Rhinolophus ferrumequinum: one gene and its partners. The protein of the gene in region 1 interacts with the protein of each later gene in a biochemical or structural test. Links are inferred from orthologs where the notes say so. Each region holds a gene or a part of one and is shown in the gene's direction. Other genes may lie near its edges. The genes, in order: THRB, NCOA6 and TBL1X.

Region 1 (10,280 bases):
TACATTGTGTGATTCCATTTATATGAGGCTCAATGAAATAAATGATATTAGCAAAGCTAATAAATGGTGATAGGAATCAAAACAGTATTTACTTCTAGAAAAGAAGTGGTTATGAACAGAGGAAAGGTACAGATAAACTTTCTGGATTGCTGGAAATGTTTTCTATCTTGTTCGGTGTGGTGATTACACAGGAGTATAAGAATATAAACATTTATCCAACTGAACACTTAGGATTTATCTATTTTACTATACATAAATTACACTTCAATTAAAAAATTATTACTCTGAACATTTTTAAACCACATTTTGTTCTGGAGCTATGTCCATATTGGTGTGCCTAGGCCTAGCAAATTATTTTAACAGTATCTATTTAAAGAAAAGATGATTTATGCTCTGATGGAGTTTGGCTTGGCTGATGGGTATGTTGGCATAACACTAACTACTGGAACAGATAAACTTTCATATTTCAGTGGCTTACCACAAAAGAAATTGATTACTCAATGACTGCAACCGTTCAAGGTGAGTCTTCTCATTCTCTTCCACATGGTGACTAAGGGACCCAGGTTCCTTCCAGCTTATGGCTTACTAGTTCCTGCCCACGGGCCTCTGAATCTTCTACCTCTAGTTGGAAAACAAGGGAAGAGAATGTAATTAAGGAATTTTCTAGGTTTCTAGCTGGTAACATGAGTGTTTCATTTCAGCCTTTTCTGATTGTCTCAATGCACAGCAGCCCCTTAAGCGAGGAACTAGGGAGATGTCTCGTGCTTCCCAGAACATGCTCACATTTTCCAGCCCCATGTGCCTGCCCCATCACTCCTTTTCCTGCACACAGATAGCACGATGGGTGGTCGAGAGTACAGCCTCTGCCACCACAGTGACTGAGCCTGAGCTTGAACAAATTAGTTGACCTTCCTATGTCTTTGCTTCCTCATCTGGAAAATGGAGTGCACAAAAATACTGCTTCACAGAGTTCTTGGGCAATTTTTTTTTTTTTTTAATGTGTGAAATACTTAGGATAATACCTGGAACATAATGCATGTTTAATAAATATTAGCTATATTATATACTGCTTGCTATAACTGGCCATGCCAGAATGTCTGCTGTACCTCCAACATGCGCTAGGCTTCTACCATGACAAAGGACCCAGTTCCTTCTCCAGGGCCAGCTGCTTGGGCGTGCAATCTGTGCAGATGCACAGGGCCCCATGCTCAGAAGGGTCCTGTGCTCCAGGCCTGGCACTTAGTTTAATGCTCTGTTTCCACCATCATAAAACTCATTCTAATTTCGTCTTTGAACTTGTGTTTTGTAAGTGACATTTGATGGGACAATGGAACACGTGCATGAGCAAAGGCGATACACTCAATATATATGCTCACAGCTGTTCTTTGCTGCTGCACTCATATACAGCATTCTTGATGTCCCTTGAGCACAGAATTCCAGTGGCCTCACGATGTGTGAGAGGTCAGCAAAACGCAAACTGTGTACACGGTAAGCACGTTACATCTATGACTCAGTAAATGCGAGCACTGACAACCCCAAGAGGCCATGCTTTCCATTCCAACCAGAACTTGCTTTGAATGCAAAAAGAAGGCAACAACCAAGGAACTCTATCATGTGCTTTCTTACTAGTGTTACTTCCCTGTATTAGCTAACCTTTTACTATGAAAATGATGACATTGAACGATAAGGCAACCCATAGTTCCTTCTCCTTTCCCCATAGTTCTTCCTTACTCGTCAGTAAGTCAGAGTGTTGGTAGAATGAGCACATGTCAAGAAGTAAAGTAAAAACAGTTCCATTAGTTTTGTGCTGTGTTTCCCCTGTTCTGATAAGAACAAAACATATGTGCATATATAAACTCAGAATACGTATTACATACTAGCTACAAAATACAAATTGTGTAAGTTTGTTGATTTCACATGAGTTAAATGCTCTTATATTTGCATTTAAAACTAACATTGCATGATGTAAAGATGAACAGTAAAATTGATGCTAATAATTTTAAGTATTTATTTTTCTATAGTTACAATATTAAATAGCAAATAAAAAATGCCATGATGATGCCAAAGAGGGAACATGGAAGAAAGGAGATAGCTTTACATATTGTACTTTTAATGGCACTTTTTTTCCTGCTTTTTGAATAAAGGGCCCCACATTTTCATTTTGCACCAGGCCCTGAAAATAAGATAGACAGCTGCATCTTTCCCTCTCTCTGACTTCCCCCAAATTTTCACCCCGCTGTCTTCTGCAGGAAGTCTTACCTGAGCCCCTCATTCTTCGTGGATTATTGCAGCCTCCTCACCCGGAATCACCTAGCAATTTATGTTTCTATATTTCTCAGTACACCTTCACATTTAGAGTTAATTTTGAACATGTCATCTCCCCTAATAGTCTGTCTTTCCTGAAGGGAAGGGACAGACTTGGCATTTTTATCTGTCTGGCCATGGACCAGAATCATTGGGACCTTCACAAAATATATTCCAAGAACTAACAATGAACAGATAGAATCAGAATCTCCAGGGCTGGGTCATTTGGCTGCACAGCTAGCTTGAGAAGTTGAACTGAGTTGTTCAATGAATGAAAGAATACCAATTGTTCCAGGACCTGAAATGGTCATTCCTCTTGTTCTAACACTCCCTGCTAAAATCTGGTCTATTCTTGATGGACTGTTTCAAGTGCTACCTAGTTCTGTGAAATCTCTGAGTTTCACTCTCACCTCACCCCCATCACCCATTGTACCCCCTAGAATAAAATCAGGAAACAAAAATTGTGTGTTCTGTTGGCAACCCTTCTTTACCATCAGAGGGCCAAGTCAAATGGAATCCTAGTAGTTCATGCTGTTTCAATAATGGTGCATTAAAATTTTCCTCCTCCATTGTTATAAAACATTATTGCAATCATAGTCTCATGAATTGTTTGAATAATACCACATTATTTATTTAATGCTTAATTTACTCTATATTTCAGAAGTTTCCAGGCAAAATGAGATTAGAAAGACAAAGCCATTTGAACAAAAGACAGCAAAAGGATTTGTTATACTTCATTCTCTGTATTTCTCTGGTGTTTCCTAATTAAGATGGAATTTAGCTCCAAGATATACTCAGGAAGAGAAAAAACTAAAAAGGTCCAGCAGCCTTTAAGGCCTATCATCCACTTTTGTAAAGGAAGATTAGCATCACCCCTCACACACCACCACCACCACCACCACACCACCACCAGCAGCACCACCACCACCACCACCACCACCACCACCACCACCACCACCACCACCACCATCTCCTCTTCCTCCCATTATTACAAAGTTGTTTACCCGCTCCCGGCCCCTGTGAAAACGCGGTTGTCAACTGTTGTGGCCTATCAGAGCCAGGCTTTTTCCTCAGTGGCCAACTTTTTCATTCACACTTAGCCACCAGGGGGCCCCCTGTTTGGAACAAATGGTGCATACTACACAGTTTTCCTCCAAACCAACCAAAACATCCCGGGGCAGCTTTGGCAGAAAGTTCAGGAACTTCCTTGCAAAGGCGAACAATTTCTCTCCAGCTACAAAACCTTCAAGTCCTATGGTCTAGCCTTACGACGAGTAAAGAATGAAACACGGATTTATTGCCAAAGACCGAGGAGAAATAGGGTCCATGGAGTCTAAAGGGAGAGGCTCCTTTCTCTAGCTAGGGAGCCTTAGGGTCTGCGACTTTCTCTGGAAGCGCGCTGAAACTGTGCTTCAGGCGCCGGGAACAGTTTCCGAATTCCTGACAGTTGTGATGGTTAATGCTGTATGCAGGAGTGGTGGCTTCTCGCCCTTTTCCGTGGGATACTCACCAGAAGCTGAAATAAAACACACGTCACTGGCTGGCAAACTAGAAAACTCTCAAATAAATCATTCATACATTGTTCGGGCAGTTGAGGATACATACAAATCTGTCACATTGTTATATGAATAAATGTGTACAGTGAATAATGAAGTCAGAATTCTTTTAATATTATCTATAAGAAAATAACTACTACTCTGGTCAAAATAGTTTTGTTGCAACTATAGCTTCTCAACGACTTCATTTTAGCTTTTGGGGGGTACTCAGTAGTTTTATAAGCATTCTTCTGGCCCAGAATGTAGCTGCCTATTTCATTTTCTATCAATCCATGGCCTTCAATGTGTTTTTTGGGGAATGGGGGGGGCACTTAGAAATTCCTATTTGCCTGGGCAGAACTTTTCAAGAGTATAAATTATTTTTGTCTTCAGTTTTATTTGTACATGTCCAGGGTAAAAACAAAGTAATAGGGTAGCCCTTCTGGAACCGGTGGAGGGTCAACCACGGCACACATCTCCCAGGATATGCATAATAGTGTGAGGATGTCTCCATCAAGAGCAAGCCAGGTATTTTCCAAACTTCCAGTCCCGAGAGGTGGTGATGGTAAGAGAACGCCAGACGGCGCGGCCGGTGGGAGGCCCCAGGAGGGGCCAGGGCGCTGTGTCGGCCCCACAAGCGCCACAAGTGGTTTGGAGAAAAAGGGAGGAGCGCAGCCCGGCGGGGCAAAAATAAAGCCCCATACTTCTGGAAGTCACCTCCTCTCCGCCCCACCCCCACCCACCCTCACCCCTGTCACTTGTCCCCCATTCCTTCCTCTTTGCCTGTTGAGGAATGACGCCCAAACCTGAACCTCCGCGCGCGCGCCGCTGGGTGGGTGGACGCGCGGCCACCAAAACCACCGCAACATCGCCACACAGGGAAGGGCACCCTGGGTGGAAGGCACAGCTGGGACTGGGAGGAGGGAGAGCAGCCGAACCTGGGGAGGCAGGTGTGGAGGCGGGCAGCCCGAATGGTGTGTGCGTGGACGCGGGGCAGGGGTACGCGAGCCCGGAGGGCTGGACAAGTCAGAGAACCCGGCGGGAGCCGGGCGGGATCCGGGAGGGGCGCGTCGGGTGCCAGCCGGGCGGCGGCGGCGGGGCGTGTGGCCGGGAGGCCATTTCCTCGCTGCGCCCCTGGCGGAGCCGGGTTTGCCTGCTCTTGGCCGCCGCCGCCGCCGCCGCCGCCGCGCGAGTCGACCGCCGGGAGGGCTGGAGGGGAAACCAGGTCACCGGTTCGCAGAAGCGTCGCAGAACGGGTGTCCCGGGATCGGAGTAAGGCAGCGCCCGGGGAGCGGGCCGGGGCGGGCTGGGCGCGCGGGGGGCCGGGAGAGGCGGGGACTCCGGTGCCCGGGCCACACTCGCTTCCTACGCCTATAAAAGTGGAGTGGCAGGGGAGGGCTGACGCGGCCCTGGCGGCGGCCGCCTCTCTTCGCCCAAGGAGTTGACATTTTGCAGGACTCGCGCGACGTCCCGTCGCCGCGCTCCGCGGGACCCGGCCGCCCGGAGGAGGGGGCGGAGGAGGGTGGAGACTGTGGGGCTTGGCCAAGGAAGGCGCACATCCTCGGGCAAGCGGCCGTGACGCGGCGGGGATTAACTTTGCATGAATAATGTGAGTGCGCTTAGAAAGGAGACCTTCTGCTCCCCGGGCTCGGGGCAAGCGCCCGCCGGCTGCCTTCCCCCGGGCAGGGGCGCCCAACCCATCTGGCTCCAGGGCACTGGTAATTTGGGGAGAGGACCAAGCAGAGGCGGAGGTGCGGGGCGGGGGTTAAAGGGGAGAAGGGGGCGACAGATCCAATGTCCAGAAGGGTGGGCAGGACGGTAACCGGGGTGTCGCGGGAACCTGAGCGCGCGCGGGCGGGCGTGGGTGGGTGGGGGTGTCAGCCGCCCTATTACCTGCCTCCGCGGGGTTTTTGCGCCCCGGATCGGGAAAGAGGTGCCCTCTCGTGTTAGGGCACCGTGCGGCAGCTCTCAGGGAACCAGAGCGTGGGCAGTGGTAGAGCAGGGTGGCCGGGGGCCGCTCCAATCGCGGTGGCTGTGTTCCTCAAACCCCAACCCGGCTGTTGACAGGCTCCTTGTGAAATGGAGTTTGGCATCCTCAGCGCCGAACCGAGTGGAAGTTTCCATGATGAAGAAGTTCTGTGACACGGGGGTTCGGAAAAGGTTGGCAAACACGGCGGGGGGAGCGGTTTAAGGGGGCTGTAGGCCCCCCATCCCCCTTTTTTTTCCTGCCCCGGAACTGCCGGGTTTGAAAAGAATAATCCTGAATGTTGGCGTGCGCTGTTACCGGTGCCTGGCGACTTGGCTTCTCCCCGCCTCCTTAGGGAGTCGGTGGCGATTTCGTTAGCCTCCTGGGTCGCACTTCTTTGCTTCTCTTGACGCAGCATCTTCCTCTGAGTCGCTTGAAGTTGGTTCTGATACCAGGAGTTGTGCCAGCTGTGCGCTCCCCCCACCCCCGCGCCATCCTTCGGACAAGGACTAATTTGGGGGAGTTTTTTTACTCCTGGTGGATTTTGACCTTCTTAACTGCAGTTGTCATTTGTAGGATTTCCCAATGACCATTGTAGGATTATTATTAGTGCTAATTCTTAAGCCTTCCGATTTGTTGGGGGGAGGGGTAGAGGTGGGGAGCGTGGGGTGAGTTTTTTATTTATTAAAGGTTAAATGTATAATTTTCTCCAAAGGGGAAATTTTCAAAGGTCTAGACGCATAACAATTTGTAAAAGTGAATCAAAGCAAGAGAAAAGCACTTACCTGAACAGAGAAGTTTAGATTCTCCATCCTCCCTGCTCCACAGACATTTGGAATATGTGAAGATTCAGACACTACCCCAATTAGTAAATAAATTTGAAGCAGTCTTTTCCTCTTAGCATGTTACTGGTCTCAGGTGCTAGTGAGATTCAGTTTTAAAGACCTGTTCTGAAGTTCAAAACCATAAAGCATTCCTTGGACAGTATTAATATTGGAGTACAGCAATTCTTATAATGATCAATGTATTGGGTAATGCAGACCTTTTGGTCAATATCTTTACATTATTTTGCCTTATTTTAGTTTAGTATGCTTAGTTACATTGTAATAATATATAGCATGCACTGGTTTACAAAGTAAAAATTGCTATTTAGTCAAAATATTCCATGATTCATTCTGAATATTCACCATGACTGCTCCCTAATTCACTTCTATTTACCTCTCTTATTCTGAAACAAGTCAGGGACTAGGAAACTTTTTTTTTTTAAAGGTGTTTTGATGAAAAGTAGTTTGAGTAATGGATGCTTTTAGGAGTTTTCATACCACTTGGCTAAGTGTTTTGACTCTAAAAGAAATTCAATCGTAACTGATTTGTTTGGGGTTTTACATGGGAAGTCTGTGATTGTTAAACAGATACTATCAGAATTTTATTTTTAATGAATTTCAAAGTTTTGTTATACATTGGAAGTGGGACCATCTGCTAGTAAATATGATTTGCTTTTATTTTTCGGTGAGTGAAAGTAAATGATACTGAATATAGCCACAGAACTATTCTTTTTTGAAACAATTCCTGTTGGCATTATAATTCAAAGACATAATTTTATTGATATTGGAATATTGTTTTATAAAGTACTGAATTTACAAGAGGAATAAGCATTCATTTCTCCCCTATGGATTCTTTGTAGCAAATTCTGCTATAGAGATAAATTAAGACAACTTCCTTTTAATCTACGTTTTTGGGAGAAGGTGATTTCTTAAAATTTCCTTGAGAAAGTGGTGGATTCCTTTGCTTTCCTGAGGTTTTTGCAGTTGTTTGAAGCTCGGGGTGTGTGGAGTCACAAATAGGATTTCATGTTTCTTTTTTTAGTAAGCTCATCTTTTTTATGGAAATCAGAATAAAAACATTGGTTTCTTTACCTCCTTTTGTCATTCTAGTGTAAGATTACCTGTCAACTTCTTTAAAAACCTTTCCCTGATAATTTGAGCAAAGTTAGTCCCCCACTCCCTCTCAGAACCATCACACCATTTTTTTGTTTCCTTTTTTCCCTTTCCTTCATCTTGTTTACAATCTGAATTGTTCATTTCAGTTGGTACTTACTGATTACCTGTCTCCTGTGTCTAGAATATAGAATCCATGAGAAAAAGAGTTTTGACTGCTTCTCCAGCATCTTGAATAGTGTTTGGCACACAGTGGGTTCTGAATAATTTTTTTTTGAATAAATGAATGGTTGTGCCCAAACATTATGTTTCCCAAAGTACCTGACTAAGCTTCCTAAGTGGGTACCAGTTGGGTATGCCAAGATCTGTTCCTGTGTATGTGTGTGTGCCATGTATATATGGTTCAATCTCAGTATCTCTCTCTCTCTCTCTGAAAGCTAGCCCTATTTTGTATAGTGACAATACAGAGAGTTATTTCTGCAAGTTTTTTACCTGGGGGCATTTGCCTTGAGTACACAGAAATCCTCAGCAGCAGTTTGTCTTACTTTGATTCTCTGAGACTTTGACCTTCAACACTATGGGTTTCAGCAGAATTTTTATGAGTTCCAGAGGTATTGTCAGCGCTAAGAGTGAAATTCCAGGGAACAGACATCACTGGGTGATCGGAATGCCTTGTCACTTAGCAGGTTCTGGCAGTGTCTTTGGCAGCCCTAAGGTGACCAAGGACACTTTGTGGTATAGCTGGTCTGCAAAAGTGGTGGATGAGGAAGGGGCAAATGGGACTGTCAGGATCCCACACAGGGTAGAAATAGCCCTTGAGGGTCAGTTTGGAAATAACCTGGTGGTTCGCCTGTGTTGTAAGTTAAGTCTGTCATCCTCTCCCTTTCCCTCTTTTCCCACTTCCATAAACGGATTTTGACCAGACGACTATGGGAAATACTGGATTATCTGTGTTTTCAAGTGACAGAGGTGTGATACCCAAGGGGTTATCTTCAAATTAGCTATTCATGTAAATTCTTTTGACAGTTGAGACTAACAGGAAATTACAATTGATAATTATGGTCATTTGTTTTTATTTTTTAGAGTATCAACTTTCAGAAATATGGCTGAATAAATGCATAGTAAAAAATTCCACAAAACGATGAGACTGGTAAAAATGATAAGAGAAGAAAAGTTTAAAACCTTATAGAGGAGCAAAGATAATTAAACTGAAATCCTAAGTGCGTATTGCTTTTTAAGTATTTAATTTAGTTCTGAGCTTCTCTGTAGCCAAGTTACTAGAAAAAAAAGGAGAACTGGAGGTGGCAAGTATGTATTCAAGTTGTAAGGATAGATCAGATAACATTTGTAGAGTGCTTATTATGGTACCTGACAACTAGTATATACTCCTATGAAAGATCAAATCATGTAATGGCCAATACTTGAACTTCAATTCTATAGAAAATGAAGTAGGGTTCTTTATATGATTGTGTCTTTTACCAACCTTAGAGGGGAAAAAATGGAGAAAGCATAATAATGAAAAGTAACCCAGTGAGAGTTAATCTTTGGAGCCTGATCTGCCATGGTCCAGCGGTAGAGATTCTAGAGATTGTCCCCAAAGCAGAAATAGAGCTCAGAAAACCTAGAGGAATGAATGGTTAACATGTTCTTTAGGCTGACTTTCTCAAATATCCACAGTCTCAGCCAAGCTTTTGACTAGAGCAATCTGAGAGGACAGGACAGCCAGGTACTTGAAAATGACACTATGGTCATAAACCTCTCTGAACAGGTGTCCTTGATGATTTGTGCTGTCGTCTCTATACTTCACATCACCCTGCAGGGTGGTTTGTTTTTAGTGACCATTTCTGTCTCCCCCACTAAATTGTCATGAGGGGGCTATGGGTTGATTCATCATTGACTCCCCAGCAAAGGACTTGACACATGGGCACAAAGAAATGCTTGTTGAAAGAATGAATCGATGATGAGAAGAGGAGGAAGGTGCTTCTCTTTCTCTTCTGATGTTGGTATTAAGTGTCATCTTCTGACTTGGTTGTGCCCAAAGTGAATGTTTGCTGCCTGGATTGCATCATCTGTCCATACCACAGCTGAATATTTTGCTCGAAGGGCTTAGTCTAGTGTCTGAGCTGGTTGAGCAATGGATGGCAAGTTAACTCCTTGCTTTGTTTTAAGGTCAGTGTGATTACTTGATTTGGTTCCTCATTCAGTCTCTAAAAATTGGTGTACCTACTACATGCCTGACCCTATTAGTCATTTAAGACAATATGCATATATTAATACACAGGGATTCTAAAATAGTTTACACTGTGATGAATGAATCTGCCTATTGGGTCTTTTAGATGAAATAATTATTTTCCTCTGAGGATTGGTTTGTGGTTTCTGCAGCCCATGTGTATTAGTGTAAATTACAGTAGCATTCACCCAGGATTCTCTTGGTAGGCACGTAGTGTGAGATTGAATATGTTTAGGCCAGTGAGTCTCTTGATTAAGGATGTTCACGCTCCACTTTAAGTTCCCTAACTTATTAGTCAAATGGCATTT
Region 2 (10,453 bases), on another chromosome or scaffold:
CCACAATAAGATACCACTCCACATTATTATAGATCGTCTATAGTAATTTTTAAATCATTTTTAGAAAGGAAATAACAAATATTGGCCAGGGTATGGAGAAACTGGAACCCTCATACATTGCTAGTGGGAATGCAAAATAGTGCAGCCATTGGCATTTCTTCGATAAGATAAACAGAATTACCATATGACCCAGCAATTCCACTCCAAGATATATATGCCAAAGAACTGAAAACAAGTGTTCGAACAAAACCTTGTACATGAACAGCAATACGATTCACAAAAGCCAAAAGGTGAAAGCAACCCAAATGTCTATCAATGGATGAATAGATAAAATATGGTATATTCATACAATGGAATATTATTCAGCCATTAAAGGAATGAAAATACTGACACATTACAACAAGGATGAACACAGAAAACATGCTAAGTGAAAGAAGCCACACACAAAAGATCACATACTGTGTGATTTTATTTATATGAATTATCCAGAATAGGCAAGTCTATAGTGACAGAAAGCAAAGTAGTGGTTGCTTAGGGATGGGGAAGTGGGGGGAGGGTAGGGAGAAGGGCAATATCTAAAGAGTACAGGGTTTCTTTTTGAGGTGATGAAATTGTTCTAAAAAATTTACTGTGGTGGGGTGGCCGGTTAGCTCAGTTGGTTAGAGCGCAGTGCTCTTAATAAGGTTGCTGGTTCCATCCCTGCATGGGCCACTGAGAGCTGCGCCCTCCACCAATAGATTGAAACAACTACTTGACTTGGTCCTGATGGGTCCTGAAAAAATACACTTAAAAAAAAAAATTGACTGTGGTGATGGTTGTACCTATTGGTGACTATACTAAAAAACATTGAATTGTACACTTTAAATGAATAAATTGTATGGTATATGAAATATATTTCAATAAAGCTGTTTTAAAAAGACATGTACAAGAATAGTCACAGTAGTCCTATTAAAAATAGACCTAAAGTGGAAACTGAAATGCTCATCACCAGTAGAATAAACTGTGATATATTCAAATAATGAAATACTACGAAGCAATGCAAAGGAACAAACTACGCGTATATGCAACAATATAAATGAAGCTCAAAAACAAAATTGAGCAAAAGAAGCCAGACTCAAGAAAGTATAGTCTACATGATTCTGTTTATATAAAGTTTAACACCTAGCAAGCCTAATCTATGGAATTAGAAGTTAGGATACTGTTTACCTTCAGGGACATGGGTAATGACTGCAAAGGAGACTTGAAGGGGCTTTGGTGGGGCTGGTAATGTTCTCTTTCTTGATTTGGGAGTTGGTTAGATGTGTATTCACTTTGTGAAAATGCATCAGGCTTCATACACTTATGATTTGTGTATTTTTATGTCTTTATCTTATACTCTAACAAAAAGTTTTAAAATTTCAGAATATTTTTCAAAACAGGCTTTTAAGTTCTACGAATATTTCTCCTTTTTTTGTGGGGGGGGTCACTTCTTGATACTCTTTAATTTTTTTTCAATTGTGTTGTTAACACTCTATTTCTACTTTTCAATCTTTTGTTCCTAAGAGTAAGCCCATATTAAGCCGTTATACAAAGTAGAAGCCTTTATACAAAGTACTTTATATAAAGTAGACCCCTCTTCAAAGTACTTTATTTCTTATTGTCTGAAAATTGTTGAGCTGATTTTATAATAAAAGATACTTTACTGCCATCTGCTGGTAAATTATCACAATAAATTTATAATTATAATGTCTACCAGTGAATGGCACCCACTTAGATATGTCCTCCTGAAAGACACAATTTGTCCAACTAAACGTGGTTATCTTGTCGTTTGGAAATGTTGTGATGAACCCTGCAGAGAGTAAAATGGTGATGCTCTCTAGATGGTTAAAGATGTGGTTCAAGTATCCACTATCAATCTTTTTACTACAAAGCATAAGCCCATTTGGACAAACATTTAAACGTAGAAGTTCAATAAATGTTAATCAAATTGTTCACATCAAAGAACAATTGATTTGCTTTTTCTTTACCCAAATCTGAATCCAGAATATCTTGGATGTCTTAGGACTGCTTTTCTTGCTCATAACAAACTGTGAGTAGCCTGATAACCTCCTTAGAGACCTCTGTTAATCTGCTCCTTGTTGAGTCCTCATAAGTGCTCAGTACTCTTCTAAACATTTTACAAGTACTAATTCACTTAATCCTCTACTAATTCATTTAATCCTCTAATCCTCTAATCTGTAACGTACCCTTATTATCTGCACCTTACAAATGAGGCAACTGAAGCACAAAAAAGTTGTTATATTACAGGTGATGATATTACAAAAATACTTTCTTTGGGAAAGGGTACAGTCTATTAGGGACATAAAATAAAAACTACGTTAAGGATTAAAAAACAAACAAAATAAAGGAGAAAATACTTTGGACTCTGTTGGACAAGTCATTTTTCTCTGTTTGATCCCAGTTTCCTCATGTATATAACAAGAAGGTTGGATTTGCCCAAAGTTACATAACTAATAAATGGCAACACTAGAATCTGAATTTGGGTATTTTGGCTTCAAAGTCCAGTCTTGTAAGCACTATGCTATTGTTAGTGCCGTCTATGGCCTGTTTTTGTTCCTTTGCTACCTTCCTGTGGGCAACAAATATTTGTGTTGCCTATGCACCTGCTGTTTTCACTTATCAGATGTGTAGGTCCCCAAGTGGGCCCCTGTCTCCTAGCTCCCTGCATCCTTGCTAATCCCAGAAAAACCCATGACCTTCAGTTTAAGGACATTGATAACAAGGTGAAAAAAATGAGGACAGTGGCTCAGGTTCTGGCATATGTGTATTTTTTAAATCATGGCAAAAAATATATCCATACAACACAAATGTCGCCATTTACACCATTTTTAAGTGCACAGTGGCATTAAATACATTCACATTGTTGTGCAACCATCACTACTATCCATCTCCAGAACTTTTTCATTTTCCCCAACTAAAACACTGTACCTATTAAACAGTAACTCTCTATTCTCCCCTCCCTCCAGTGCTTGGCAATCACTATTCTACTCTGTCTCTATGAATTTGACTACTCTAGGAATCTCATATAAAAGGAATTATATAATATTTGTCCTTTTGTGACTTCCTTATTTCACTTAGCATTATGTCTTCAAGGTATATCCATGTGTGAAAATTTCTGCCCTTTTTAAGGCTGAATAATATTCCATTGTATATAAATAACTCATTTAGTTTACCCACTCGGGTTGCTTTCATGTTTTGCCTATGGTGAAAAATGCTGCTATGATCATGGGTGTACATATATCTCTTCGAGTCCTTGCTTCTACTTTTTTTGAGTAAATATCCAGAAGTGGAATTGTTGGAAAAGATGGTAATTCTGTGTTTAACTTTTTGTGAAACCACCAATTTTTTTTTCACAGCTGTGGCACCATTTATATTCCCACCAGCAATGTGAAAGGGTTCCAATTTTTCCATAACCTCACCAATATTTGTGGTTTTGTTTTTGTTTTTTTTTTTTAAATAGCCATCCCTAATGATTAATGCTATTGAATGCCTTTTCATGTGCTTATTGGACATTTATATGTCTTCTTCGGAAACTGTCTATTAAGTCCTTTGCTCATTTTTATTTAAATTTTTATTGGGGAATATTGGGGAACAGTATTTTCAAGGACCCATCAGCTCCATGTCAAGTTGTTGTTTTCAATCTGATTGTGGAGGGCACAGCTCACTGGCCCATGTGGGAATCGAACCAGCGAATTTGGTGTTATGAGCACTGCGCTCTAAACACTGACCCAACCAGCCACCCTCTTATGCTCATTTTTAAATTGAATTTCTGTTGTTTTATGAGAACCACCCCCCTTTGCTCATTTTTAAATTGGATTTTTGTTGTCCTACGAGAATCTTGTAGAATCTTTCAGAGCTTTCTTACCTCTAGAAACTTTCATGAGATTTGGAGGTGTGTATGATGTCATCTCAACCTGTTACCTGGCTTCTGGTAGGACCCTTGTTTCTGCAGGATAAAATAACCAGAGTTTCTCATTTGGTCTTTCATATTAATTAATTAACCAAGTAATTCATTTATTGTATCATTATCTAAAGATACATGTCAGATTGCATATACCAGATTTCCAGGTTAACACAAAAGAGTACATGCTTGTATGTTTATATGAAGTTCAAGAACTGTCAAAATTGATCTAAGGTGCTAGAAGTTAGAATAATGGTTACCTTTGGGGGAGCCAATATTGACTGGGAGGGGTCGTGGGAGAGAACAAAAGAAACTTTCTGGGTTGGTATTTCTGTAACTTGATCTGGGTGGTAGTAACACAGGAACATAAGCAAAAATTTATTAGGTATACACATAAAATGTTTGCATTTTGCTTTATGTAAATTATACCTCACTTTTTAAAAGTTAAAAGAAAAATCTTTTAAAAAACTTTTTTTCCAGGCTCTTTTTGTAAATCCTTTTGGTGTTAATTTCATAGGCTCAAAAGTCTAAGGTGCCCCCTTGTGGCCGCGTGTGGTTCTCTTTATTTTTCTCTGCCCTCTTGGGCCCAGCACTTTGTGCTAGGATTCATACCTACAACAAATATTTATTGAGCGCCTCCTCTGTGCCAGGCACTGTGTTATGTGCTGAGGAAACAGAAGTAAACAAAATGGACAAAGTCTCTCTTCTTATGGAGTCCACAGTCCAGTCAGTGGTAAAGACGGAATAAACAACTTAGTACATCCTATCGAGAACAAGCAAGAGAAACCGCCTGGGAAGTGAGTGGTCAGGGAAGGTGCTCTTGGGGAAGAAATGTGTGAGCTGGTATCTGAGGGCTGATGAGTTATCTAGCAGGGAGAGCATTTTAGGCTGAGGGTCAGCATATGCCAGTGTCCTGAGAAGGGGGAAATGCAATATGTGAAGGAGATCACTGTAGTTGCAGTCCACACAAGGGAAGAGGGCCCTGAGATAAGTCTGGAGATGTGGGAAGAACAACAGTAAGACATCTATTTGGTCTTTACCTTAAGAGCAGTGTGGAACCATCAAATAGTTTCAAACAGGGGAGGGACATGATCAGATTTCTGACTTACTGACATTACTCTGACAGCAGGGTGGAGAATAGATTGGAGGGGAGTCAAGCACACAGTGTGTGCTCAATAAATATTCGTGGAATGAAAGACTCCTTTTCTTAGATGAGACCAGTATTCTTGAGCTTTGCAATCAGTTTACAATCCATCTGCTCGTCTTCTGTCTTCTGTGATGCTTCTGCATCACAGAAACAGACCCTTAATTCCCATTTTACAGCTGATGAAACTGAGGTTCAGAGACAAAGAAAATCACACAGCTACCAAGAGTGAATTGGTAGCACCCCCCCTCCCCCATAGAGAGTGGATAATCCTGGGGGCACCTATGTCCTCAGGCCCGTAGGAATTATACGGTCTTGTAATTCAGCCCCGCGACTCCAAGGACTGCCCTTGAATCCAGGCCTGCATGACAGACATCAGGTCCGGTACTGGAGAGGCCTTCCTACATTTGAGGAGCAGGGAGGGCACCTACTGAGCTTGCTGGGGTGATGGTGATGGGAAAAGACAGAGAAGAACTTATAGGCAAATAATAATAAAGGCTAAAGGTTATCTTTATCACCATATGACACTATCTGTCAGGCATTGTACCAAGTGCTTTCCATGCTTTCCTCATTTCCTCTTTGGTATTATTATCCCCGTATTTCAGATGGGTCAATTGAGGCTTGGAGAACGGAGTTGCCCAAGAACACTCAGCCAGAGGGCACCTATAGGGCTGCACAGTGACTCTGAAGTGGGGGCAGGTGCCACTTGCGATATTGCAGCTACAGGAGACAGATCCACCCTGTCTGGGCCCTAAGGTCTGCACCCAAGTGAGCCGGTGCGCGCTCCGCCTCGCGCGCTCGGGGACGTTTGGTCACGTGACCAGCCCCACCCACCTCTAGTCCGCCCCGCCCCGCCCCCTCCCGCACTCCCTCCCTCTCTCCCTCCCTCCCCCTCCCTCCCCGGCCCGGTCCGGCCCATCCCCCTCCCCGCCGGCTCCCTGAGGCCCTGCCGGGTCGGGCTGCTGGCGGCCGGGCGCCGACGGCCGAATAGACGGGCGCACGCGAGGACGGACGGACGCACTCACGGAGGGCCGCGGGCACGGACGGCCCGGGCCGGTGCTCCGAGGCCCGCCCGGGAGGGCTGGGGCCGCGCTCAGGTGAGGTGACGGCGACGCTGGCCCGTAAGGGGTGGGCCCGCCGGGCGTCCACGGTCCCGGCCCGGCTGGCGACGCTAGAAGGAGACGGCGCCCGGGCCTGGCGCGGGAAAATGGCGCCGGCTGGCCGTGCGGCACGGCTTCTGTGCGGGCCTGGCCGGGAGCCGCCCCGCCCGCCCGCCGGGCTCGTGTCCCCGTCGCCATGTTGGGGAGCGGGCCCCGGGCCGGCGGGCGGGGGCGCTGGAGGGAGCGGAGGCCCGGCCGGGTTGAAGAGGGTGTCGGACGCCGGGTCTGGGGCATTGAGGGAGTGCAGGGCCGGCCGGGGTCTAGACGCATGGGGTGGCGTTCCAGGTCCAAGGAACTGGCGGGAGCCGGACGTGGGGTCGTGGCCAGGGTCGTGGACTAGGGATACTAGGTCCAAACGGAACCGGGGTCGGGGTCTGTGGGACTTGGGTGAGCAGGACCTGGAACTGGGTTAGGCTGTGGGTGGTGTTCAGGACCCCAGGGCAGGTAGGACCCCGGAGGGGCGTGGGGTCCGAGTTCAGGCTGTCAGGGCTGTGGCACTTCTTTGGGTGAAGAGGAAGGGGTTGATTAGAAATGGGGGCTCTTTGGGTACAGACGCAGGTATCAGATTGGGGCAGTCCTTGGAGTCGCGGGGCTGAATTACAAGACCGTATAATTCCTACGGGCCTGAGGACATAGGTGCCCCCAGGATTATCCACTCTCTATGGCGGAGGGGGGTGCAACAAAAAGGGAAGAGTTTGATAAGGAAGAGAAAAAAGGGAGACTGCAGTTGTGTGCAGGAGCTAGCCAGCAAAAGGGGTGCAGAGAGTGGAACTGGTTGGCAAAAAGAGAAAGCCTCCATCAACTTGGAGAGTTTGTGTGTGTCTTTAAAAGGAGGGACCGGGCTGTTTGTGGGCGGTGACCCAAGGTGTCTTCCCTGGAAGGGGACAGCCCACTGTTTTAAGAGCTGGGTCACCTGGGGAGGTCATCAGAAAGAAGTTATTGAAGCCAGTAAGAATGGTGAAGAAGGAATGAATGTGTAAAAACGACAGAGGCCTTAGAGATCATGTAATGATTTCAGATGATGTAGTGATTTTAGCTGAGACATGGAAAGGTAAAGTTGACTTCTCAAGATCTTAAAAGTTAGTAGCAGAGGGTGTTACTGGAACTCAGGTCGCTGCCTCATTCAACATACTCCTGCCTTAGAGGAATTTGCTAGCTGGGAGAAAAATGTTAACAAGTCAAGCATGGCAGTTTATATCAAAGAACTCTTAATTTATTTTGTTTCTGTAATCAGTTTGTCACTTCAGAGACTCAGAGGGATACAAAAAAATGTATAGGTAACCAGCTATTTGATAATTTCTATTATAGCCCATCTCCATTTGTGCAAAGAAGTTATCTTCAGGGCCCTTTTGACTTCTAACTTTCTCAAGTTTTAAGAGATGCGCCTTCTCTTCTAGGTGTTTACTGTACAGCAAAGGGGCACACACACACACACACACACACAAACTAGAAACAAAACAAAACTGAACAATGGTAGAGATCCAGGATCTCTATCATGATCAAGCTAATTGAAGTTTGATCAGAATAGAGAAGAGTTCAAAGTTCACATGGGTTATGGGAGAGCTCTGAGGGAAGGTATGCAAATCAGTCATGAGACATTATAGGGCTCCCATATAATCAAAAAGGACTTTCAACAAAAAGGTTGCGAGGACATTCATAGCAATAAGATTTTCGATATTCAATATGTATATACCATCCATATATAAAGCAACATGATCCATTTGTTCTGGGTCTTTCTAATGCAGGAAGGCCTAACCTTGTGGGTACCATGGGGGGATGGAGGGAGGAGAGGGAGAGGGGTGTCAAAGATGAGACTGAGAAAGTTGGTCGGAATCTGGTTGTGAAGGACCTTGCTAAGGAGTTTGAACTGGATCCTTAGCTGATAGGCATTCAAGGTCTTCAAGGAGGGGACTGGATGATGAAGTTTAATTTTTAGGAGATAAATGGATATTCTTCAGGAAGGTGGACTGGAGAGCAGGGAAGAAGTAATGAGGGCTTGAACAAAGGCAGAGGCTTTGAACATTGAACAGCATTAGAATTTTCAGGTGTTGATAATTGACATTGTGAGTGATGAGAAAGGGAATTTCTCAGATTTTTAGTGTGGGATAGTGGCTGTCAAAGAGATTAAAAAAATATAAAAGGAAAATGAGGTGAGAATTGTCACAGATAATAAGGAAGATGTTTTTTGGTAGAGTCATAAAGACTTTTGGAAACCATTGCAAAGCTGTCAAATGCGGTGTAGTTTTTGCTTAAGGAAATCAGAGGTAAGTGTTAGCAGACATAAAAGGCAGGGAAAATATTCCTAGAGTGTAGGGAAATCACAGCTGTCTATGTTAGGGGTCCTCAAACGATGGCCCATCAGTCAAATCTGGCCTACCACCTGTTTATGTAAATAAAGTTTTATTGGAACACTGGCACACTCGAACATATTGTCTTTGGTTGCTTTGACACTACCAATGGATGAGTTGAGTGGTTGTGACAGAAAATATATAGCTCACAAAGCTAAAATATTCACTATCTGACCCTTAACAAAGACGTTTGCCAGTCCCTGATCTAGGTGTCTGCATGTGGATGTTCAACTTCTGGTTTGCCATCCCAGTTCCTATACGATAGAGAAAAACCATCTAGGCTCTGTCTTTCTGCCTGGGTCCCCCATACTCTGTGTACCTGAGGCATGACATAGACCCCTGAATATTTTATATTGGTCAGTGATGCCAAGGTCTGTTTTGGGGTCTGCTGTGTGGCAACTGTGATAGTGCCAGGTTTTCAGAGCTTAGACCATGCTGGGACTTGTTTTGCCATTTTTCTATTGGGTTGTCTTTTTCAAAAGATTATATTTTCTGATTATTAATCCTTTGTTGGTTACATGTATTACAGGTGTCATTTCCCAGTTTGTTGCTGATCTTTTTAATCTCTTTTAAGTTCTCGTGTTAAAAAGTCCTGAATTTTAATAAAGTCGAATTTATCAATCTTTTCCTCTCCCAAGATTTTGAAGTTATTCTTTATATTATCTTCTTGAGTCTTTACTGATTTATTTTTGATTTAGATCAAATTGGCTCTCGTGTATGGTGAGAGTTAGGGCCAAGTTTCACTTTTTTCCCCCTTATGTATAATTAGTTATCCCAGCACCATTTATTGAATGGTCTCTGTTTTCAAATTGTGAGCTCTTTTAGTGGAGTCTGAGGTCCTAATTCCAGCTCCACTGCTTGCTAATTGTGTGACCTTGGACAAGTTGCCTCAGTTTCCTCATCTTTAAAACAGGATGATAGTATTTATCTCATAGGATCGTTGTGAGGATTGAGTTAATTCATGTAACGTAGAACAGTGTGGGACCTAGAAAATACTTGATAATGTTAGCTGTTATTTAGTACATTGTTCATTTCGGATTCCCAGCACTAAGCTGAGAGTCGATATACTGAACACAGTCATAGAATTAATTTGGTTTTCAGGTCAAAACAGTGGTTGAGACCAGGCTAGGTACTGCAGGAGATGCTTCCGGGTGGGTGGTCGATTAGTTTTAGTAACTGTAGCCTTAGACTGTCTGCTGGGATGGAACTTCTACCTCAACACTTCTTTTACGGAGAACTTCTGTAGCACAAGATGCAGCCTGTGGTTGAATTTGACCTGCAGACACCTTTTGTTTGGTTCATACAATTCTCTTAATGTCTTAAAAATTTATACAAATTTCAGATTTGTCAACACCAAGCCCATATTCTCTCATAGGACTACATTAAAAGCCAAAGCTTTTAAGTGGGATGTGTGTTTCCTGGTTTTCTGTGTAGTCCTCACTACTCACTTGCTTTGCTCATTTACTTTTATCACTCTGTAGGCATTTAATTTTCTGGTTTTTACTTTACTGAGGTTTTAAATATTATCTCTCCTAAATCAATAAATGATTGGGATAGGGTCAAAATGGCCAGAAATTGACAGATGAGTTTGTGGGCAGGTAAAAAATAAATCTATGTCTAAGGCTGAGTCATACTTGATCAGAATGAATAAAATAATTGAAATTAAAAGATGAGGTGAAATTCAGTTCACAGCACTGGCTATTTAGGCATTGTCTATATGCTGGGTGCTACATTAGAAATTGCCACATTGGTGATAGAAAAGAAAATTAGTTGGCCAGTTTTATGAAGTAGTAGAGAAGAGCTCTTTTCACTTGTGATGTAGAGCTGTTTTCCAAGAAAGCAGTTGGATGACAGAGAGGAA
Region 3 (10,236 bases), on another chromosome or scaffold:
TAACATTTTGATACTTTAAGTATTAACAAATGGCATTACGACATTATGTATCCTGACGACTGAGTTTTGGGCACCTCCTTAAACATGCCCCACCCTGGTGTCCCACGTCCCTTGGGAGGGACCCATCGTGGTGGCATGAATGAAACCAGGCAGGGAGAGGGGCAACAGAGGGCCCTGGATTCCAGCTTGCAATTTCTCCCTTGGCAGGAGGGCCCCAGGGAGAGATTCCAGGTGGTGGATGAACTTCCAGGGGCAGCTTTCCGATCACTAACCACTCACTGAAATGCAGCATTTCCGACAACTACGACTATAGAGGATGAGTGGCTCTGGCATTACAGTGTCTTTAATTTGTCACCAATTTGTCAACGACAGAAAAGTCTGATATATTTTCAGAGCAGGCTATAGTTGAAGCAGGTTCTGTTTACCCTCATCCCTACTTTGAAAAGATAGGAATCACCTCTAGAGCTTCCCACTGGAACTACGTACTGAGGAAGAAGCGCTTGCATTAATTAGAATTCTTGAAAGATTTGATAACTCTATTTTAACGGAAATGTATTTCTTTGTAGTCCTATGTAGTATTTAATATATTTCATGTATCATTTTATGCATTTAGAAACAGTATTCACTAAGCTGACAAAGAGGGTCTGAAGCATAAACATGATCACCACTCCCTCACCCCCTTAACTTTTTAACCTCTTGGGTCCAGTTTTCTCCTCTGACTATTGGACATAAAAAAGTCCCTGCCCTTCAATATTACTGGGGGGATCAAATGCAATACGGTGCATGAACACCCCCATCCCAAATACAAGGTATTTTCAGGATTCTAATGATGTGAACGGAAGGTAACATTCCAAATGGAAAAACATAGCAACAACTCACGTGCATTAGTCTGCAAAAGCTGCGGTAACAAAGCACCACAGACTGGGTGGTTTAAACAACGGAAATTTATTTCCTCACGATCCTGGAGGCAGGAAGTTTCTCTCAGGTCTTCTCACCTTGGATTGCAAAGCGCCTTCTCCTTCATGTGTCTTTGTGTGGTCTTCCCTCTGTGCCTGTCTCTGTCCTCGTCTCCTGTTCTTGTAAGGACTCTGGTCACATTGCATCGGGACTCATCCTAACGACCGCATTAACTTATTTACCCAACATGAAAGGCTGTAGCTCCAAATACAGCTGTTTTCTAAGGTCTTGAGGCCTGAGGGAAATCAGATATTGGATTCAAGGAAAACTGGGCAGTAAGTCGCACAAGAACTCTCATAACTTTAATACCCCTTCCTACGACCTTTTTTCTAAAAAGACAATTTTTTAAAGAACAGAGTTTCTGTGCACAGTTTCCTTGTTACACCCCTCATACACCGTTTGCAGTTTAACATCTTTCCTAAGTGTGGCCCAGGTGTCACAATTAATGAATCGATATTGATAAAACCCATAGTTTCCATTAGAGTTCACTCTTTGTGTTGTACAGTGCTACGTGTTTGGACAAATGCAAAACGTCACGTACCCATCACAGGATCATACAGAATATTTCACTGCCCTGAAAAATCCCCTGGGTTCTGCCTATTCATCCTTCCTCTCTCCCGTTCCCAGGACCCTTGGTAACCACTGATCTTTTTAATTTTGCCTTTTCCAGAATGTCATGGAGTGGGACTCTTATGGCACGTACCCTTTTCAGATCACCTTCTTTCACTTAGCAGCATACATTGAAGGTTTGTCTATATCCATTCTTGGTTTGATGGCTGATTTCTTTTTGGTGCTGAATAATATTCCATTGTCTGGATGGACCACAGTGGACATACCCATCACCTACCAAAGGTCATCTGGTTGCTTTCAGTGTCTGCTGATGAGTAAAGCTGTTATCCACATTCCTGTGTAGGTTTTTGTGTGGATGTTTTTCATGTAGATGGATAAATACCTAGGACCATGGTTGCTAGATTGTGTAAGACTGCCTGCTTTGTAAGACAATGCCAAACTGTCTTCCAAAGTGGCCATATCATTTTGCATTCCTACCAGCAAAGAGTGCATGCTGTTACCTTTCGGTGTTGTCATTGAAAACCTTTTCTGGGGCCATTTTAATAGCTGTATGGTGGTGTTTTGTTATCGTGTGCAATACGATAGTGGCATACGATGGTTATCATCTTTCCATATGCTGATTTGCCATCTCTATATCTCTCTTGGGTGTGTTTTGTGTGTTTTTTCCCCAGCTCTTTTGCCTATTTTGATTGGATTATTTTCCTATTGTGGGGTTTTAAGACTTCTTTGTATATTTTGGATATAATCCTTTATTAGATACGAATTTTGCAAATATCATATTCTCACCCAGTCTGTGGCTTATCTTTTCATGCTCTGAAGAGTGTCTTTTGCAGAGCAGATGTTTTTAATTTTAATAAAGTCCAACTTATCAAATTTTTTCCCCATGGGTTATGCTTTGGGTGTTGTATGTTTCCTCCCATGTTATCTTCTAGGAGTTTTATACTTTTGCCTTCTACATTCTGAGTTAATTTTTTTTTTTAAACCAGTGGAAGGTCTGTGGCTAGATTATTATTTTTTTTTTTGCATATGGATGTTCAGTTTTTCTAGCACTCTTTGTTAAAAAGGATATTCTTTTGCCATTGAAATTCCTTTGCTACTTTGCCAGAGATTATTTGAATATATTGGTGTGGGTTCCTCCTGTCTTTCAATTAACATTTTGGCTACTGCTTAAGGGGAATGCTGATAGCATTTGTTGCAAGCAGATTCTTATACTCCGGCTCCCTCCCGTCAGCAAGGAAAAGTAATTGTTTAATACGCAGATATTGTGCTGTGTCTACCTGTAGAAATCACTGCTGTTCACGACCTCATATTTACTTTTATCAGAAAGCACTAGTCCCTTTCCTGCTCTAATTTATTTCCCTCTTTCCTTGTTTTCTCCCATCTTACAGGACTGCACCCTTGCAAAATTTGCAAAACAGAGTAAAACAAAGTAGTCTAATTTACCACCTACCTACCACCATCTAGCATTTCAGAAAGAGGAATTTCGGTGATATTACGATAAACATAAGTCTGTCTCTTCCTGTCTGAGGTCTTACAAAGTCCCATGGGGGTGAGAGGGTGGGGTTCCTTTGAGTCTACGATTAAAGCACTAAGCTGCTGACTTGCAAGAAGACCGTTGGGATTATTGGGACATTATCAAACAGGCGAGGCAGATTCTGAGCTCACCTGCATTGCTAGTTACCCAAGAACAGCTGTAAAAACTGGTCACACTGGGTCATAGTTTGGAGCGAGGATTTCCATCCCTTTCCCACACTTTAAACGATTGGCATCTGCCAAGTAATCAAAACATACCAAGAGGCCTTTCACCAAGCTCAGTTTGGAATTTCCAAGCGGCTAAAGACAGGCAGAGCCGGTAAGCCAGACAGGGCCAGTTTGGCTGCGCGGTTACTCGAGAGACTGCGGTAGCCGAGGGCCGCGTCCGGGTAAAGCCGAAAGCTGTAATGATGTCAACTTGTTATTTACTTTCCAAATCTGAATGACTGAGCCAGGCGAAAGGAGAATCAATCAACCACAATGTGACCCTACAGGCGGAAAAAACGCCGCGCTACCCTCAGCAGGCGGTGGGGGAGGGGAAGCACGTGTAACCGGGGCAGGGTTGCATCATGAGCTCGCTCGGGTTTTCTATTGCACCCTCGGTTTTTCGATTGCATGTAATACCTCTCAGCATCAGCCCGCACAAGCCCAGGGAGTCCGGGAGCAACGAAGGGCAGGCTCGAGGGAAGGCCCCACCACGTCCTTTTGGGGGTGGTCTTGAATGGCAACTGATACGTAATAAGACACAATCTATTCTGCTGATTCACAATTATGGAGACTGTGTAAGTGTGGATTTTTTATTGACGTGCTCTATAATAATGGTGTAGCAACAGTCGTTTTACATCATTGACCTTTTACAGCAATATATGGCAGGGTAAATCTTAGGTCCGCCTTTCTGATGGAGGACCAGCCCCTTAAAAGCTCACCTCCGGCCCCCTTCCCTCGGCCACCAGAACAACAAATGGTCCAGTGTCCCAGAAAAGAGCAAGTGAGGTTACACTTTAAAATGCTGAGTGTACTGGGCTCTTAGCGGGAAGCTCAGTGTACACCAAAGGGAGGGGCACACTTATTTTAAAATATTCAACAAAGCAGACACTGAAGGTGCTTGGGGTGGGCGCGGGTATCTATTTCATTGAATTAAGGCCGCGTGGGGTGGGTAGTGGTCACCGAAGTGGAGGGGAGGAAGGGACGCTGGGGATTGGGGGGCACCAGGGCTGGGCCAAGCAAGCCATTGCAACATAAAACACTTTGGAAATGCCCGAGGGAGGTCTGAAGCCTGCTTGTGGGGGTGGGGATAAGGATGGGAGGAGGTTCCCCCCAACTCCCGGAACCCCCACACCCCAGCTCCTGGCCTCCACCTCCGTGTGTCTGAGTTTCTTTCTCCCCACGCGTTTCTGGCCCTTCCCTGTAGCTGTTTTTGCAAAGGTTGAGGGCTCCACCTGAGCCCCCACCTTTTGGGGAGGGGGAGAGAACACTGGGGTGTCCTCTAAGCCGCGGATTTTGAGGGACATGCCCCCTGGGGCAGGTTACAAGGGTTCTGTTAGGGCAACTGGGCGGTTTCTTTTTTGCGGTGGGGGAGGGTAACACTCTAGCACCGGCCCGGGTTCCTTTCCCCTATGGAGAAACCTCGGGGGTGGTGGCCCCGGTTACGGTCCCCGCCACCCCGACAGTGGGGTAAAGACTGAGGTTTGGGACTGGGTGGGGGTAGACCGCGTTCCCTTCCTCCCTATGGAGGCCACGGGGAAAGGACTGGGTTCAGAGCTTGTAGGGAAAGGCCCGGTTTCCCCTCACCCACCCTAGGCGTGGGGGCAGGGGAAGCTTGGGGTGAGGGACGTTGCAGGGTCGCAGGTTCCCCCACCGTGGAGGAGGGGCTGGATTGGGACGCGGGTCCTCCCTAGAGGCCGCGGGGGAGGGGCAGTTCTGGGGCGCGGACTCTCACCCTCGCCGCCGTGGGGGAGGGGCTGGCCCGGCGTCCCTACCCCCAGTGGGGGAGGGTCTGGTTTGGGACGCGGTCCCCCAGGGCGCAGGGGAGGGGCCGGAGGGGACGCGGGTGCCCCTCCCCCGGTGTGGGGGGCTGGGGGAGGGGCGGGCCGGGGCGGCGGAGGCGGCCCCCCTGGCAGTCCTCCCGGCCGGGGTCGGCGCTCTGGCGGCGGCCGCTCCCCCCTGAGGTCACTGCCCGTGCCGGTCCCTCCCGCCGTCCCGCCCTCTGCCGCCGCCGCCGCTCCCGCCTCGGCCCCCCCACTCTCCGCGCTCGGGAGCCGAGAGCCGCCAGCGCCCCCGCCCCGCCCCGCCGCCGCAGCGCCCTCGGCCGCCATTCGGCACCGAAACTTTCCAGCGCCCGCGCCTCACGGGACTCGGCGGGGCGGGGGCGGCCCGGGGGCGGCGCGAGGCTGCTCCGGGGCGCCGGGCCCTCCTCGGCCGCGGCTCGGCCCGGCTCGGCGACGGCCGGCCGGAGGGAGGCTCGGCGCGGCGGCGCCCCACAAGTTGCCCTGCCCGCGGCGAGGTGAGTGCGCGGGGCCCGGCCGGCGGGCGCGGGGCGGGGGGGCGCAAACTTCTCCGGCGGGGGTGGGCCTGGCCGGCGGCTCGGGGCGCCCGCACGCTCCGCCCGCAGCCGGAGCTCTGGAGGGGCAGGTCCCCAACTGTCCCCGGGGCTCGGGTTGGGGTGCGGCGCGCTCCCTGCAGGCTGAACAATACCCCGAGGGGGCCGCTCCCCAAAGTGCCGGCGCGTGGGGGGGCTTCTTTGTTTTGGGGAGTGGGAGGCGGCCGGTAAGTTTGGGGAGGCGCTCCATTTGCCCCCGGGTCCCCTTTGTCTGCCGCCCCTGGGGCTGGTGGGCGAAGCTGCGGCGCCGCGGGCTCCCCCGTGGGGGAGGGGAGCCCCATTCATCCCGGGCTCCGGCCGGCCCGCCCCGGACCGGGTGGCCGCGCGGCGGCGCGCCGTGGAGTGAGTGCCGGGCGAGGCCCCGCGGCTGCTCTGTTTCCGAGGCGCAGAAACTGTCAAGGAAGTCAGAACCCCCCCACCCCCCGGCCCGAGCGAGAGGACCTGGCTGGGGGCGACTTCGGTGTGTGGGGGTCGCCCCTGGTGTGGCGGGGTCTGCAAAGCGCGGCCTGGGGAGGGTGCAGACCTGTTGCTCCCGGGCTAGGGGGAGGGGTGACCCCAGATTCGCGTCCCGGGCCCTGCTCCCGGAGGGACTTTCCCCACTGGGGACCCGTCCTCGGAACCGGGTGGGGGTGCGTCTTCGGGTGTCGGTGGCTGCCGGGCATGTGACAATTGGGGGTCACTAGAAGCCAGCCCGCGATGGGTTGGGGCCTGGACTTCGCGTGCGTCGCCCGTGCGCGGTCAGGCCCGGGCCGGGGCTCGCTCCTCGCTTGGCCTGGGGTTTTCCCGCACAACTGCATGGCAAATTCCAGAAAGTTAGAGTCGGAGGTCATGTTGTGGATCATACCCCCCAAAAAACAACAACAACAACAACAACAAAACCCCCACCCACCCAGCCCCTATCGCATCTGCAGCTGTCTCTGCTTTGCATTGTCACATGTGGCTTGACCTGACTTCTGGATGTTTTTCTCTCCTGACGCGCCGCCCAAGTCCCTGGTTTAACCTGGAAGCGCAGGGGCGGGACTCCAAACCTGGAGGGAGGGGGACGCCCTGCTGAGGTCCCCAGCGGTGGCTTGGGGTACAAATGGCTCTGGACGATTTTAGGAAAAGTTTAGAATTAGTCATTCCTAGAAAAGATGCTTTTAGGGGGAAAAAAAATGTTGGAGTATGGAACAATTACGACGTTAAGATGACGCTTTTATTTTAAAGGACGCTATGTGTCAAATGTGCTGCAGATTTTGATGGAAAACCACCCAGCTGGGTAAATAATCCAGGGATAAAAGTTGAAGTTCGTCACTTGAGCCACTTATTAAAATAGCCCCTCAAGGGGATTCCAGCTCTTCCGTGTACACACACCTGTGGGACAGAAATGGGGATTTTTGGTGGTTTATTTGGTGGTGTACATTTGCCCCTTCAGTGGGCTAGTGATGTTTTCCTCTGCCAGTAGTTTTAAAGAAGAAACTGTTTGCAAAATAACAACAATAATAATGATCACCGTATTATTGAAGATGCCCAAAAGTGAATGTTTCAAAATCTGGGGTGCTTTCACCAGTTGTATCCGTAGCATGATTTTGTACAACAGTATCTTAGTAAGGAGGTACCTCCCCTTTTTTAGTGATGGATAAACATTTATTCAAAAATGTACCCAGATAAGATACTCTGCTAGGCCCAGAGGGACACCAGGAGCAAGGTGGGCCCCCTTAGGGGACAGTGGGACGTGGGAAGGGGCCACTCGCCAAGAGCAGCGCACGTGTCTGCGAATCCTCTAGGATTGACTCTTGTGCTTTTATCCAGGGCTCGGTCAGTCCAGGAACTATCAACACCCCCATTTAAATGTCACACGTGGATCCCTAAATCTGCCAAACCCCACCCTTCCTGAAAGGTTGGGCGTCTTGGGTAAGGAGAATGTTTGGTGTCTTTCTGGGCCTGGACCCCCATCTGTATCTCTGGGAGCTTCAGCGTTCCGTTTGTGTGATGACATCATGAGTCTGCCTCCTGTTAGGAGACTTTCAATGGGCTTTGTGGCCCCCACAGTGGTGAATAGGGTCCTGGAGTCCAACTGCATCATGACCAGTGACATTTGGCTATCCCTGTGTGATTTGAACGAGTCCACCCTGTTCCTGCTCCACCGTGGCTCTGGAAGTCCTGCACCTTGCTGAGCGTTACTTTTCTGTGTGTAAAAATACAAAGGAGAACTGAAATCGCTGTACTCACTAGGCAGTGTGAGGACGGGAAGAGAATGTATGTGAACTGGAATGGAAAGCGGCCTGTAAATGTTAGCTGTTGGTCTTGGTGCAAAGAGAACAGTTGTCTTTATGCGACTTGAATGCCATGCCCCAAGGAATTCCCGGGCCTAACTCTATACTAGCAAGTTCCATGCCACAGCATAGGACGCTGAAAGATGTTAAGTAACTTGGCAATACATAGTCGTGGAGGGAGGGTTGTCTGATTCCCAAAGCCCAGCTCGTAAGCTTGGCCTTTTTTTGTTTTGCCTTCCTGACTACCTAGGGTGAATTTTCCCATTTGGAGAAAAAAGCTGTTTAAATTACGAGTCTACACACACACACACACACACACTCACAAACGAGAATCTACATTGAAATCTGTGTATACGTATAAACATCTCTCAATAGAATCAGGAACCGTCTGTTTTCCTCTCTAGCTGTGTTGTCCAATGTGGCGGCCACCAGTCACGTGTGCATAATGAGGGTCGATTAGAATTCAATGAAAGGAACGGCTCTGTCCCTTTTGGTCATTCTAGCCTCAATTCATGTACTCAGTGGATGCCTGTGGCTAGTGGCCACCATATTGGATAGCACAGAACTTCCAGAAACTGCTGTGTGAGGGTCCTACTTTGTAGTTATTACAATGGCAATAAAACAAGAGAGTCAGTGTGCTTTTCGTGAGGGGAGAGGAGAAATCGTTTGAAATAAGTCACAGGTATATTTTTTTAAAAGAGAGAGACCCATTTCAGCCAGCAATTGACCCAGGGAAGTGATTTCAGTGAATGGATTCTTCACCTGAAATTGACAGCTATGGGTTTTAGATTGAGGGGCTTCGGATCAGTTTTGAATCAGAAAACCAGAACGCGAGCTAGCGTCTGAACGTTTAACCTCGGGCAAGGAATTCAACGTTTCCGTGCCTCAGTTTTCCCATCTGAAAAAATAGCATCAGTCCCCATGTGCCTGCCTAAGCGGCTGGTGGTGAATATCCCTTGGGCTGGTTGGAGCCTTTGGTGTCACCATCATTGAGTCCCCGTGTGGCTGATTGAGAGGCTCATCTGATATATTCAAATCTTTGCTTGCTGTGGGTACCTTGGGCTACCACCCGCCCCTTGAAGTTCAGGTACTAAGGAGTACGGCTCAGTCGCTTGAGGTCAAAGTCTTAACGTATTGAAAGGCTGGCAAGGAATCGTTCCAACAAAGTGAGACTTCACAATAGTCGAAGTATTTTCTTTTTCAAAAAAAAAAAATGTCTGAGTGTTCACTGTTTCCTGTACACCCGGTCCCTGAGTCAGGATGTTATTTTTATTACTTAGTTGGTGTGTCGTTTGCATAGTTCTTTGTATTTTTTTATAGCAACAGGTTAGACATTTTATTTGTAAATGAGGGTGGGGGAAAAGTCCCATTTTGTGTCTGTCAGTGAGGTGACTTCCCGTATCAGCCTTCTGTCATTGGCGCTCACTTTTGCTTCCTCTCAGGGCCCTGCGGTGGGTGAGCTCTCAATGTTGGGCTGGAAGTTCTTGAACACCTGGGACACCTGCAGTTCTCTGCCAGGGGGTCCCTCCCGAGGCAGGCTGCGCCCAGGAAAGCCATCTCACGCAGGTCCTGAGTGTCAGGAATTGAGAGTCTCAGTCACCTGTGGGTAGGAAAACACCCAGCTCAAACCTGGGGCCGTCCCCATCCCTGCATTCTGCTGGGGTGTCCAGACCCCAGGCCCCACGCATACGGCATTGCCAGGCCGAACCCTGGGCCTGGCGACAGTCACAGTTGCTCTGCTGTGTGAGGTGAGAGTGTCCCAGCTGTGGTTTCCCCATGCCTCGAATTCACCCCTCTCCCCTTAAAAAAAATAGTACGCTACATCCAATCACTTGGTAATCTTTCGCCACCAAAGGCATTTTAAAATACAGTTTCAACCAGGAAGGAAGACTACAGTCATTTTGTAAACACTTTTTTTTCCTTAAGTTGGAAAGATAAACTTTTTTTTTTTTTTTCCCCTGTAACTATTTTTAGTGTGAAGGAAGTAAGTGGCCTCTGGAGCGGAGACTGGATGTGAGTTGGTCCCTTGGGTCTTGCCTTCCTTGGCCCTTTGCTGTTCTCCGTCCTTTCCGTGGGGTTTGACCGAAGGGACTGCACTGGCCAGATTGGCAGAATGTGACCCAACAAAACCAAAATAAAAGCTGGCTATGGGAAGGGACTAAGAAAGTCAACAATCTCCTACTCTGAGAAAGAGTTTCAAATCTCCAGGGAGAAATGCGATGATGAAGGAATTGGGCATCCCGGCGCTTTCTTACCAGGGACTGGAAAACTTGACTGGAGACGATTGTCCCCTGAGCTGGCAGCCTCCCTCCAGGCCATTCT

Evidence for each region.
Region 2: the proteins of THRB (region 1) and NCOA6 form a complex in vitro, tested with the Homo sapiens proteins (2 studies listed by BioGRID). The link is inferred for Rhinolophus ferrumequinum from reciprocal best matches to the Homo sapiens genes THRB and NCOA6.
Region 3: the proteins of THRB (region 1) and TBL1X form a complex in vitro, tested with the Homo sapiens proteins (2 studies listed by BioGRID). The link is inferred for Rhinolophus ferrumequinum from reciprocal best matches to the Homo sapiens genes THRB and TBL1X.

Annotation. Positions count from the first base shown.
Region 1 is NC_046300.1:24,400,927-24,411,206, forward strand, and holds the start of THRB (thyroid hormone receptor beta), read left to right. Parts: upstream 1-5,435; 5' UTR 5,436-5,557; intron 5,558-5,573; exon of another isoform or gene 5,574-5,590; intron 5,591-5,906; 5' UTR 5,907-5,961; coding exon 5,962-5,999; intron 6,000-10,280.
Region 2 is NC_046306.1:20,472,844-20,483,296, forward strand, and holds the start of NCOA6 (nuclear receptor coactivator 6), read left to right. Parts: upstream 1-5,976; 5' UTR 5,977-6,109; coding exon of another isoform or gene 6,110-6,382; exon of another isoform or gene 6,383-6,390; intron 6,391-10,453. Other genes in the region: ejaculatory bulb-specific protein 1, read right to left, coding at 3,949-3,985, 4,201-4,283, 6,110-6,382. UniProt on the Homo sapiens protein: Nuclear receptor coactivator that directly binds nuclear receptors and stimulates the transcriptional activities in a hormone-dependent fashion. Coactivates expression in an agonist- and AF2-dependent manner.
Region 3 is NC_046284.1:119,928,776-119,939,011, reverse strand, and holds the start of TBL1X (F-box-like/WD repeat-containing protein TBL1X), read left to right. Parts: upstream 1-5,450; 5' UTR 5,451-5,563; intron 5,564-10,236. UniProt on the Homo sapiens protein: F-box-like protein involved in the recruitment of the ubiquitin/19S proteasome complex to nuclear receptor-regulated transcription units. Plays an essential role in transcription activation mediated by nuclear receptors.